Linked DNA regions of Saccharomyces cerevisiae S288C. The gene in region 2 interacts genetically with the main gene of each other region. Each region holds a gene or a part of one and is shown on either strand. Other genes may lie near its edges.

Region 1 (6,575 bases), on a different chromosome or scaffold from region 2:
TTGAACAGAGAAGAAATATTGTCAAGCTTAATAATAAGGAAAGGATCACAACTTTGGATGAAACCGTTGGTGTTACGATGAGCCACACAGGTATGTCCATGAGGTCAGACAACTCGAATTTCTTGAAAGTGGGGCGTGAGAAGGCCAAGAGCAATATTAAATCTATTCGTATGCCAAAGAAGGAAATCTTGGATTACTTGTTCAAGTTATTTGATGAGTATGACTACTGGTCCTTGAAGGGGTTGAAGGAACGTACTAGGCAACCTGAAGCACATTTAAAGGAGTGTTTGGATAAAGTTGCCACTCTAGTGAAGAAGGGCCCATATGCATTCAAATACACTTTAAGGCCAGAGTATAAAAAGTTGAAAGAGGAGGAGAGAAAGGCAACCTTAGGTGAACTAGCTGATGAGCAAACAGGTTCCGCTGGAGACAATGCGCAAGGAGACGCGGAGGCTGACTTGGAAGATGAAATAGAAATGGAAGATGTCGTTTAGTTGACAATCAGATTTTCTTCATTAATTTTATATTTACGCAGTTTCTTGAGCCCTATATATACTCTTTTTAAAATTTACAGTTTTGTTTAATTTATTATGTCTCTATTAGTTTTGGCTATCTGTACATATGTATTTAGATGCATTGAAGTTCCGTAAAAGAATGCTTGCTGGAATAAGAGACTGATGGAGAACTTGCCATAACCGCGCAGATACTTTAAAGCACAAGATTGAATTTGTGCTCCATGCAGCCAATGAAAGAAACTCTGAGATTGCTGTGTGCCCTTGCACCGACCAGTGTGAACGTTGTTGTCCATATGGGGCATGCACTCATTATAGAGAAGGAGACATTGAAACATCAGATATTTGTATTAATTTGCTACTGTCCGAGGAAGGTATGATATGCACTTCATTTGCTGTACTAAATGACACTTTTCTTTTTCTAACTCTATTATTTTCTTCACTCTTCAGAGCATGAGAATTCGGTGTAGCTTTTTCTACAGTGGGCTCATCGTCATACGTTGTTGTTACTGTTGCAGTCCTGATCCACCTCCTTCTTCTTGTGTACTTTTTATATGTGTCCGTTGCAGAGGGATTATTCCAGGTGTTATCATAATATATGAAACCTTCATCTGCACCTGGCTTAACTTTTGTCTTAGCAGCAGAAGCAGGAAGTTGAATGATCCCATCATTTGTTAGGTCAAGCATCCAATCTTTATCGTGCCATTCCCAAGCCATTCCCGACTGCTCCTCTGGTAAAGTAAACACTTCTGGGCTTGGAGAAGTATTTAGGAATTCATCTGTCCAAGATGCGCGCTCATAACTCAACATAGTTGATGTCCATCCGATGCCAAGCCAGCGGCGCTGGTTTTCAAACAGAGCAACCTTGAAAAGTACAGTCTTTTTAGTGTTAGATGTGTTCCCTACCTCATTCCAAACAAAGGACCTTATTTTCTTATTGACAGAAGCAAACAAGCGCCTATTATTATCTGGTCCACCAAGGTCTAATCCTGTTATGAAAAATACAAGTAATCTAACAACGCGAAATTTCCACAAGTATCTTCTCATTCTTCGGATTAGTTTAGAATGGTACGTAAGCACATACAGACCCCCTATTAACATTAAATAGTTTGGAGATAGCACAAACACTGTTAGAAAAATATAAACTGGGGATAGGAAGGCAATGGTAAATAACAGTCTTCTAACATCCTGAGCGCTCAAAATCGTAATAGGAGATAACACAGCGCTAGATTTCATAGAAACCCTATCCATAACGTGTATTATATCATCCAATGAAGGGCAAGATGCCATTGTTTCTTGAACGTGCTTGTCAATTAAAAGATATACCCATATTATACCAACGATCATTAAATGTCCAAAATACCTTGTAATAAATCCAAAATATAGAACACAAACCGTAAATAAGAATATTCCAAGCAAGTTTGCAGAGACATTGTCATTGGACCAAGTGATGATACTTAGAAAGTTATCCACAACAATTAAATATGGGTATAACCTCACTAATGACCTGGAGACTGTTTTAGGTGTTGAAGTCAATAAAGGAGATGATAAAATAGCCTCTTGATCTTCCTCATAAGTTTGGGCGCTTAATTTACCTCTTCGTTTTCTTAAAGCGCTACGAATGTGTTTATTCTTGCTTTCTGTAGACTCAGCTACTGTACTTGAGGTTGGCTCTAGATTTTCATTATTTATTTCGCTCATACTATCAAATAAAGGGAAACCAAGGCTTGACAACCAGGGAAGAATACCAAATTTAAAAGTGCCGCTTTATTGATAATAATTTTGGTGAGCTTCTCTTATACCGTAAATTTCAACATATATTTTTCTACCAGGAAAAGTGAAATACGGCCGCTAAGCATCTGAAAAAAAAAAAAGAGCAAGGCGCTGCTATTGATAATAGTTCCTTTGAAGCAGTGCTACGCAGGTCTGAAAGGCTCGTAACTTTAACTTACTTAATGATTAAGAAAGAAATTATTTGACTCAACAAATTCCTAGAAGTTTTTTATAAAAATATAATGAGGCATAATAAACTTCAAGAGATATCGATTACCCACTCCACATTACATTCAAGTTTGACTGGGATATATAGTCTACCATAACTATGTTATTATATATTTTGAAAGTTTCACTAAGGAATGCAGGATGAACATTCAATTAGTATCGACGCATATCCTCTTAATATTGTTCGCTCTGGCAGCCGGATAGGAACTGCCATCTATATATACTGTTGGCATTCTGCAAACCTTATACCTGTGATTTTCATTATAAGCAATTAGGAAAGGTAATGGTAATAAGAGGGGTCATCTGCGTTTCTCTGGATGTATTCTTTCTCTATTAAAAGCTGAATGCTTCGTTTCAAAATGCTCGGTGTAAGACTGAGCCGAGACTGTGTCCGTTTCGTAGTTCTTTCAAGTAATTGCTGATGGCTTAGCTTACCTTCTGTTTTCATGATACGAACAATAATAGCACTAAGCTCCATAACAATTTCATTATCATAAGTGTCCACGGAACTTGCGGTTGCCAAATTATCTGATTTCTGAGATGGTAGAGGGCATGCAATAACCGGCACTTTCACTTTCCTGTTTGGAGAAGAAAAGAAATAATTAACTGAAAATTTCATATTTCCTGAACTGGATGATTTTTTCAAAATCTTACATCTGGGTATTGTCGACATTGACATTACAAGAGACTTAACGTCATCTATGGGAATATGAGTTAGTTCATATATTTCCCCCAACGTTAATTCTTCATAATCTTCAAATAGAAGGAAAATCACTCCAGCGTAAACAGAAAAACTTATTTCGTAGTAACCGCTATTAAATTGGCAGCCAATTTCAATTACACTTAGATGATGAGCCCACTTTAGCACTCTTTCTTTGTATTTTAAGCTGTAATAGCCCTCAAAGCCAGCTAAAATTTGTGACATTCTAGGAGGTAGTGAAATACCTTCATCAATTGGATTAGTACTCTGAAAGGGCCAGCTCGTTCTCGTCAAAACTTGTGGTGCAAAACTCAAATATTCTATGCTGTTGATTGTTGAGTGTTGGAATGCTTGATACATTTCAGAGGATAAAGATATATCTCGCAGCATTATCTCCAATTTTGAGGTAAAAAAAGTTCCTAGAACCTTCTTTATCATTTGCACCATCCATTTTTCAATTTCCACTAAAGACCTCTGCTGCAGTAATCTTCTGGAGAGTTGTTTTTTGTAAATCTTTTCAAATATATCCTTCTCAGTTAGGAGTCCGATTAATTTGGTACTATCAAGCAAATCTTGCTTGATCTTCACTATTTCAGCATCTTTTTCCTTGGTTCGTTTCATACAATGGTCCACGTAGGTAGAAAGATACTCAGATGGTAATGCTCCTTCTTTAGAGAAATACATTGAGAAAACATCGCCAAGTATTGCATTAGATACATCCCCGGTCAAATTATTAAGACGAACAGAACCAAAATCAATACTTTCCAAAAACGAGTGTTGACTGCGATATAGCTCTACAATTTCCGAAGACCAAGTAATCGCATTCTGCCCTTTTTTGCGGTTACCTTCATTAAAAGGAATATTTATGGCATTTTTATTGATGTAAGATTTAATAGATTCAATGACAGTAACGCGATATTTTTCCTCGCTTGACAAGTCATAAATTTCTTGGAGTAGCTTTCCATTTGAAATTACCATTGCTTCGTGCGTTAGATCTTCAATAATATCACTCAACTTTCCCCATATAAGGACATTTTCTAATACAGTCTTCAACTTATTATGAGAATCCACATTTAGAAAAGAGGAGTCTAGCATACTTTCAAACTGCCTTAACTTCCTAATCTTTTCCAGGCTCTCAATTGGCGTTAATAATTCAATATCAATAGCTTTATTGTAGTATTCTTCTGTCGCGCTAATCAAAACCGGCTCAAAATCGGTTAAGAAAAAACTATCTCTATTGTCATGTAATGTCTCCATCATTCCTATTAGTACTTTCCACAAACTAGTATGTTCGGAGTCGACAGATCCTAAATTACGAATCCTTTCTATATCAGATATCAGTGCTGAGATGAGAGAAGATGAGCATTTTTGCAATATTTCGATTCGGAAAAGATCGAGGCACATGTCGTATACCTCCATGCATCTATTTGGTTTGCAATAAACTTTGTCCATATACATCATTAAGTCTCCCGTTATTTTAAAACAATGGCATTGCACCTCCCATAACCGTGCCATAGTTCCAAGAAACTCATAATCATGAGTATTGTCCTTGACTATCGTTTCCCTCAAAAGCGCTAATTTTTGGATTAAATAATCTTTCAATCTGTTATAAAGTATTGGCCCCTTTTTATTTAAAACGATAGTATAAATGGTCTTGTACACTTGTTCGAAGGAAAGGTCGGCCATGTCATCGCTGTATATATGATCAATGGCATATTTAACTGTTTCCCAGGATTCCTCAAAAGATTCTTCTGACAAACCGAGTTTTTCTGGGACACTTATCTTTATTTTCTTATTAGTTATCATATAGTAGCCCTAATTTCAGATTTGAGTTAGCCCGTTTAGAGTATACTTTATATGAATCAGATTAGAATACGCACACTCGAACTTATTTAATGAAGTTGCGATGCGCCAACTCCGGGTAGCTATTTAGTGATAAATCAAGAATCCACTTTGTATTTTAATAGCAACAAGCATTCATAACATATTTCTCCGATAATACGAAAATTTAGTAAAAAAACCACAGGTAATATGTCATCATCAGACATCTTTGATGTACTAAACATTAAGCAAAAATCCAGAAGTCCAACTAATGGCCAGGTATCAGTGCCTTCGTCCTCGGCAGCCAACCGGCCCAAGCCTCAAGTGACGGGCATGCAAAGAGAACTATTTAACCTGCTAGGAGAGAACCAACCCCCCGTTGTTATTAAGTCTGGAAATAACTTTAAAGAAAAAATGCTTTCGACGTCCAAGCCATCTCCTTGGTCATTTGTAGAGTTCAAAGCTAATAACTCTGTGACTCTGCGTCATTGGGTCAAGGGTTCCAAAGAATTAATAGGAGACACACCAAAAGAATCGCCATATTCTAAGTTCAATCAGCATTTATCTATTCCATCATTCACCAAGGAGGAGTACGAGGCTTTTATGAATGAAAACGAAGGAACTCAAAAAAGCGTAGAAAGTGAAAAAAACCATAACGAAAACTTTACTAATGAAAAGAAGGATGAAAGTAAAAATAGCTGGTCTTTTGAAGAAATAGAATACCTGTTCAATCTCTGCAAAAAATACGATTTACGTTGGTTCCTGATCTTTGACAGATACAGTTATAATAATTCAAGAACACTTGAAGATCTCAAAGAAAAATTTTATTACACCTGTAGGAATTATTTTAAAGCAAGTGATCCTAGCAATCCGCTTTTATCTTCTTTGAATTTTTCAGCTGAAAAGGAGATAGAGAGAAAAAAGTATTTACAGCGTCTTCTTTCTCGTTCTGCAGCAGAAATTGCTGAAGAAGAGGCACTCGTAGTAGAGTCCAAAAAATTTGAAATGGCTGCCAAGAGAACACTTGCAGAAAGAGAATCATTACTCCGACTGTTGGACTCGCCACATTCAGATCAGACAATTACACAATACCTTACCTCTCAGGGAATGTCTCAGTTATATAACGCGCTTCTAGCAGATAAAACTAGAAAGCGGAAGCACGATTTGAACATCCCTGAAAATCCTTGGATGAAGCAGCAACAGCAGTTTGCCCAACATAGGCAACTTCAACAACTGAATGTAAAAAAGTCAGAAGTCAAGGAAAATCTCTCCCCCAAGAAAACCAAAAGACAAAGACAGGAAATGCAAACGGCGCTCAAAAGAAAGTCAGAAAGCGCATATGCAGAACAATTGCTGAAAGATTTCAATTCAGATGAAAGGAAGGCTTTAGGTGTGATTACGCATGGTGAGAAGCTATCGCCGGGTGTATACTTAAGATCTACAAAATTATCGACCTTCAAACCTGCGCTGCAGAACAAAATTCTCGCCATTCTTCAAGAATTATCGTTACCTTCTCGCCCTGTGATGCCCTCATTTGATGT
Region 2 (5,319 bases):
TCGTCATTGGTTGGGCTATTGCAGGCTCTCAAATCATCGGGACGATTCATGGGCTAGGTGAAATCACGGTGCGGTTCCCCGTTGTCGGGGCCTTTGCCAATTACGGCACAAGGTTTTTGGATCCAAGTATAAGTTTTGTTGTTTCGACCATATACGTGCTACAGTGGTTTTTTGTATTACCCTTAGAAATCATTGCGGCGGCAATGACCGTACAGTACTGGAACTCGTCTATTGACCCCGTAATTTGGGTAGCCATCTTTTATGCTGTTATTGTTTCCATAAATTTGTTTGGTGTACGAGGTTTTGGGGAAGCGGAATTTGCATTTTCCACCATAAAAGCAATAACAGTTTGCGGATTCATTATATTGTGCGTTGTCCTCATTTGCGGTGGAGGTCCCGACCACGAGTTCATTGGCGCCAAATACTGGCACGACCCTGGTTGTTTGGCCAATGGGTTCCCGGGCGTTCTATCTGTTCTTGTTGTTGCTTCGTATTCTCTCGGTGGTATAGAAATGACGTGCCTGGCATCAGGTGAAACGGACCCCAAAGGCTTACCAAGTGCTATCAAGCAAGTGTTTTGGAGGATCTTATTTTTCTTTTTGATATCACTGACCCTGGTAGGATTCCTGGTTCCATATACAAACCAAAACTTACTGGGTGGTTCATCTGTGGACAACTCACCTTTTGTCATTGCCATAAAATTGCATCACATTAAAGCCTTGCCCTCCATCGTCAATGCGGTCATCCTTATCAGTGTTTTGAGTGTAGGTAACTCCTGCATCTTCGCTTCAAGTAGAACGTTGTGTTCGATGGCCCACCAAGGCCTTATTCCATGGTGGTTTGGTTATATCGACCGTGCTGGTAGGCCACTGGTTGGCATTATGGCAAATTCACTATTTGGATTACTAGCATTTCTGGTCAAATCTGGCTCGATGTCTGAAGTTTTCAATTGGTTAATGGCCATTGCCGGCCTGGCCACGTGCATTGTCTGGTTGAGCATCAACCTGTCACATATCAGATTTAGACTGGCGATGAAGGCTCAAGGGAAGTCTCTGGATGAATTAGAATTTGTTAGTGCTGTCGGGATTTGGGGATCAGCGTATTCCGCTTTAATCAACTGTCTAATCTTGATAGCTCAATTCTATTGTTCACTATGGCCCATTGGTGGCTGGACCAGCGGCAAAGAAAGGGCTAAAATATTTTTTCAAAATTATCTGTGTGCCTTAATCATGTTATTTATATTCATCGTCCACAAAATTTATTACAAGTGTCAAACAGGCAAATGGTGGGGGGTTAAGGCGTTAAAGGACATAGATTTGGAAACCGATCGTAAAGATATCGACATCGAAATAGTCAAGCAAGAAATTGCCGAAAAGAAAATGTACCTAGATTCCCGTCCATGGTACGTGAGACAGTTCCATTTCTGGTGTTAATACCGAAGAAACAAGTTCAATTTATTTTTGTAGAATATTTTTTTTTCTCTTCTCTAGTACTCATCCTTCATAATTAATTATTCCAGATCATTTAATGCATAACGACATGACAATAAAAAAAAAACCTGACATTTTGAAAAATTATCATTTGAATACGTGGATGAAGACTTCTTCGAGCCAGGCCGCAATAAAATTAATAATATATATAGACATCAATTCTTGACCTACACAAAAATAGCTTCTCTCGGTAGCCAAGTTGGTTTAAGGCGCAAGACTGTAATTTATCACTACGAAATCTTGAGATCGGGCGTTCGACTCGCCCCCGGGAGATATTTTTTTACTTTTGCACATCGCTGGTCTTAGCTTTTTTACTTGATTCGCATTGCAATCTATCTGCCAAGAATGAACAAGTATTTTTTTCCTCTGCATCTTTCCCTGCCGTAGGAATCAAATTTGCAACAAGTCTGCAATGTCTAACACCTTTGTTGCAGTCGAATTCTCGTGGCTGTACGCAATTTCTCTTATCCTACCGTGTGAAACAATTCGCGTCGCGTGGGCGCCGAAAAGGGCTTATCACGGCACATCTGAAGAAAAGAGACGGCTGGCTCCAGCTGATATTTAGATATTTTTAGTTGAATAAAGAGGCAGGCGTCAGCGATATTGCATTGTCGCTGTGGTGGGCAGAAAGCCACGGTAATGCATGTCCTGTTGTCTCTTATCCTTGTTGATAAGAAACCCTCTTGATCAGCTAGTCATAATTTTGTCTCTTCTTGCATTCTCTTTCCGATATATAACTTATATCTTCAGGTGTCAGGCAATAGAAACAACAAGGCACAGCGTTAAAAGACCATCATTTCATTTTAGCTTGTCCAAGCACATACCATTTTTCACTCAAGCTATAGCAGAGAAGTTAGTAAACATTAATAGATTATAATATAAGAAAGGCTATGAAGAAAAATTCTTCGGTAGTTTTCTTCCTTGTGGGTCTATCACAATTCGTCACTATGGCGTTTCTCATTATCGGATCCATTACGGCTCCAATTTTCAAACAAATAGGCTATTCTAAATATGATGAGATCACATACGGTACATTCGGCTACTGTAAAGAGGGCTCCTGCTCAAAAGCAAGTTATAATTATCACCCCGATGAGCTATCAGACAGTGATAGCAACTGGAAACTCAATAGCAACGCTAGGTCTATATTGGGGAAAATCATCTTTATCACACCCATTGCTGCTGGTCTTAATTTTTTGGGATTTCTTTGTACCATCATGAGCGTTTTATTAATTAACGTGCTATCCAGTGATAGAGTTGGTAGTGCGTCTGCCATCATGTTTTTTGTTAATTTGACATTTTCCACTCTAGGCTTTCTTTCTGCTTCTTTGATATGTATCGTGGTATTTTTACTGTTTTACCCACATGTAACCTGGTGTTCATGGGTCCTGATACCAGGAGCTGCTTTATCTCTACTAGTAATTCCTTTGATATTCTCAGCTTATTCAAGAAGCTCAGGCTCAAGGGATGATGACGAAACCGAGGAACTGGAAGAAAAGGGCATGCTGCTGAATGACCCATATCTAAGTTCGAAGTCCGGGAGATTCGATATCGACGCTGATAGTGAGGCCAACCTCCGTGGTGATTCAAGAACGAATTTATTGGGTGACAATTTTAAGAACGGTACTAATATCACTGTTGTCCCAGATATTATTTCACACAATCAAGATCCGAAATTATCAAACATAACCACTTCTACCACGTCTGATATTTCTACTTTCGATAAAGAAGCAAAGGACATGGAAAATTCAAATGGTTCCGGACTTAATGAAGAAGAGGACGATGGCATGGCCTATGACAAAAGGAGGTCAACTTCAACGTATTCTGTCATTGAAAGTGAAAGTGGCTTGAAAAATGGGAGTGTTTCTAATAATTATGTGAGAAACAATGGTAGTAACACCAGCAACAATATAAACTATAAAGTTCCGCTAGGAAAAACGGAAATATCATCCAGTGCATCATTAGCGTCCTCAGACTACTCTCAAAGAGAGGTCATACCGCACAGAAATCCTTCGAGACTACTAAACGACATCATGGAGACCTCCTTCAATGAACCAAACGATAGCCACATCAACAGCATGTCCTCCTACAACGATAAAGATTCAACGTTGACTTCAATATCACAGAGAGGTGTCAATCCGGAAGTATACAATCAAATGCCTCGAGAAACAGCCGCTGGTCCTGCAAATATAAGGCCGTACGCTGGTCAGCCACACCCGGCGCCATTAGTGTATCCCCAACAACGACTACAACCACAACAACAGCAACCACAGCAGCAATATCATCAATACAATTTATATCAAAGAACTACTCCTGCTGGTCCAGATCCTTCTAATGTTATTTTACAAAGCAATCCTTATTTCAACGTTGCCCCAAACCAAGTGCCACAGCACAGAAATCCGGTACCAGGCGTCGGTTTTGCTCCGAATCCTTTACCAAACCAAAGCCCGATAACACAAGGATATAAGCCTGCCTATAAGAGGAGAATGCAAAACAAAAACTTGCCCCGAGCTACTACTTCACTGAACAATCCTTACGGATTTAGGTAAAAAAAGAAAAATGAAGGTTCTTTTTTTTTTTTTATATTCTACAAATCACAATAACCACCAACTTGTATTAAACCATATTTTATCATCTTCAGGAACTACTTATGCACAATATTCGTTCGCCAGTCTTTACTTGCGGTTCAATTTTATCCCATATAAATTTGTATTTTATTATCATACTACATACTTTATTGAAATCATATATTAACCTTTTCACTTTTCTCAAATAGAACGAGCAACAGGTCATATGAACGCTGACTAAATCTCTCAATTTTCTTCAAAGCATATTATAGTTCAAAATCGCGATGCGGTACCGTGAAAGTTTTGTCATCAAAGTAGGTCATCCAAAGCATCATTCTCAGATTCTGTTACTTCAACGATACTCGGCAAGTTGCTCTCTTCGTCATTAATATGGGTATTACTGCCGTCATCATGACTGTTATTAACTGTTTTATTATCATCATTGTTGTACTTGTTGCTACCATTATTACGACCACCACTGCCACCGCCATGTGGTTTCAACATAACAAAGAAAAAGAGCGCTATTACGCACAATGTTAGTAATAAAATGACTTTACATTTTTGAGTTCTCTTCTGGTAGTGTGTTGCTTTATTCAACTCTTTATCTGCACTTTTTAGCTCTACCACTGTATTTTCCAGATTATAATCAATCCTGTCCACAATAGTCCCCTGGTCAACAACCAAATCTTGCATTTCCCTGAAAATAGTGCTCACTTCTAATACACCCCTTGCCAACTGAGTAATTTCTTCGTCACGTTCTCTCAAATATGCTTCTGCAGAAGTGTCATGAAGCTGTTGCTGTCTCTGCAACGTCCTTTTTGAATAGTCTTCAATATCGAGGCCCTCTCTCTTCTCTCTTGCTGCCTCCTCTTCCTCATCATCTAATAATAGCGTGTTCTCTGCACTGGCCTTATTGCGGATAGGTTTCAAATCATCCTTGTTCAAGAATTTCAAGTAATTATTTTGTAATACTCTGAACTTATTACTTTCAGTTTGTATCTTTTCTGCATAGATCTTCTGTAGATTATCTAGTATAATCAGCTCTTCTCGACTTAATTGCTTACCATCCACAAATTGAGAGTTGTATATGGTCTTTAATCGTTTCATAACAGCGTAACATTTCTGCAGCATCTGAATTACTTTGAAACTTAGATCTTCAATCAGCGCCTCATCATGACTCTTGTCTTCAAAGCCAGGTAACGAATTCTTCCTATAAACCTTCGCCAACTGCTCACTTAACCGTCTCACCTCCAGAAGATAATCAT

Evidence for each region. Genes that interact genetically often act in the same process or in processes that back each other up.
Region 1: mutations in YOL019W-A (region 2) and CUL3 together harm fitness more than expected from each alone (negative genetic interaction), as found in Saccharomyces cerevisiae (one large-scale study listed by BioGRID).

Annotation. Positions count from the first base shown.
Region 1 is NC_001139.9:498,576-505,150, reverse strand, and holds CUL3 (cullin CUL3), read right to left. Parts: upstream 5,020-6,575; coding exon 2,785-5,019; downstream 1-2,784. Other genes in the region: transcription factor IIF subunit TFG2, read left to right, coding at 1-494; PEX31 (peroxisome biogenesis protein), read right to left, coding at 825-2,213; SWC4 (Swc4p), read left to right, coding at 5,245-6,575. UniProt on the Saccharomyces cerevisiae protein: As part of the CRL3 E3 ubiquitin ligase complex; polyubiquitylates monoubiquitylated RNA polymerase II subunit RPO21 to trigger its proteolysis; plays a role in global genomic repair.
Region 2 is NC_001147.6:286,518-291,836, forward strand, and holds YOL019W-A (uncharacterized protein), read left to right. Parts: upstream 1-1,902; coding exon 1,903-2,055; downstream 2,056-5,319. Other genes in the region: aromatic amino acid transmembrane transporter TAT2, read left to right, coding at 1-1,433; TOS7 (Tos7p), read left to right, coding at 2,381-4,036; t-SNARE syntaxin TLG2, read right to left, coding at 4,364-5,319.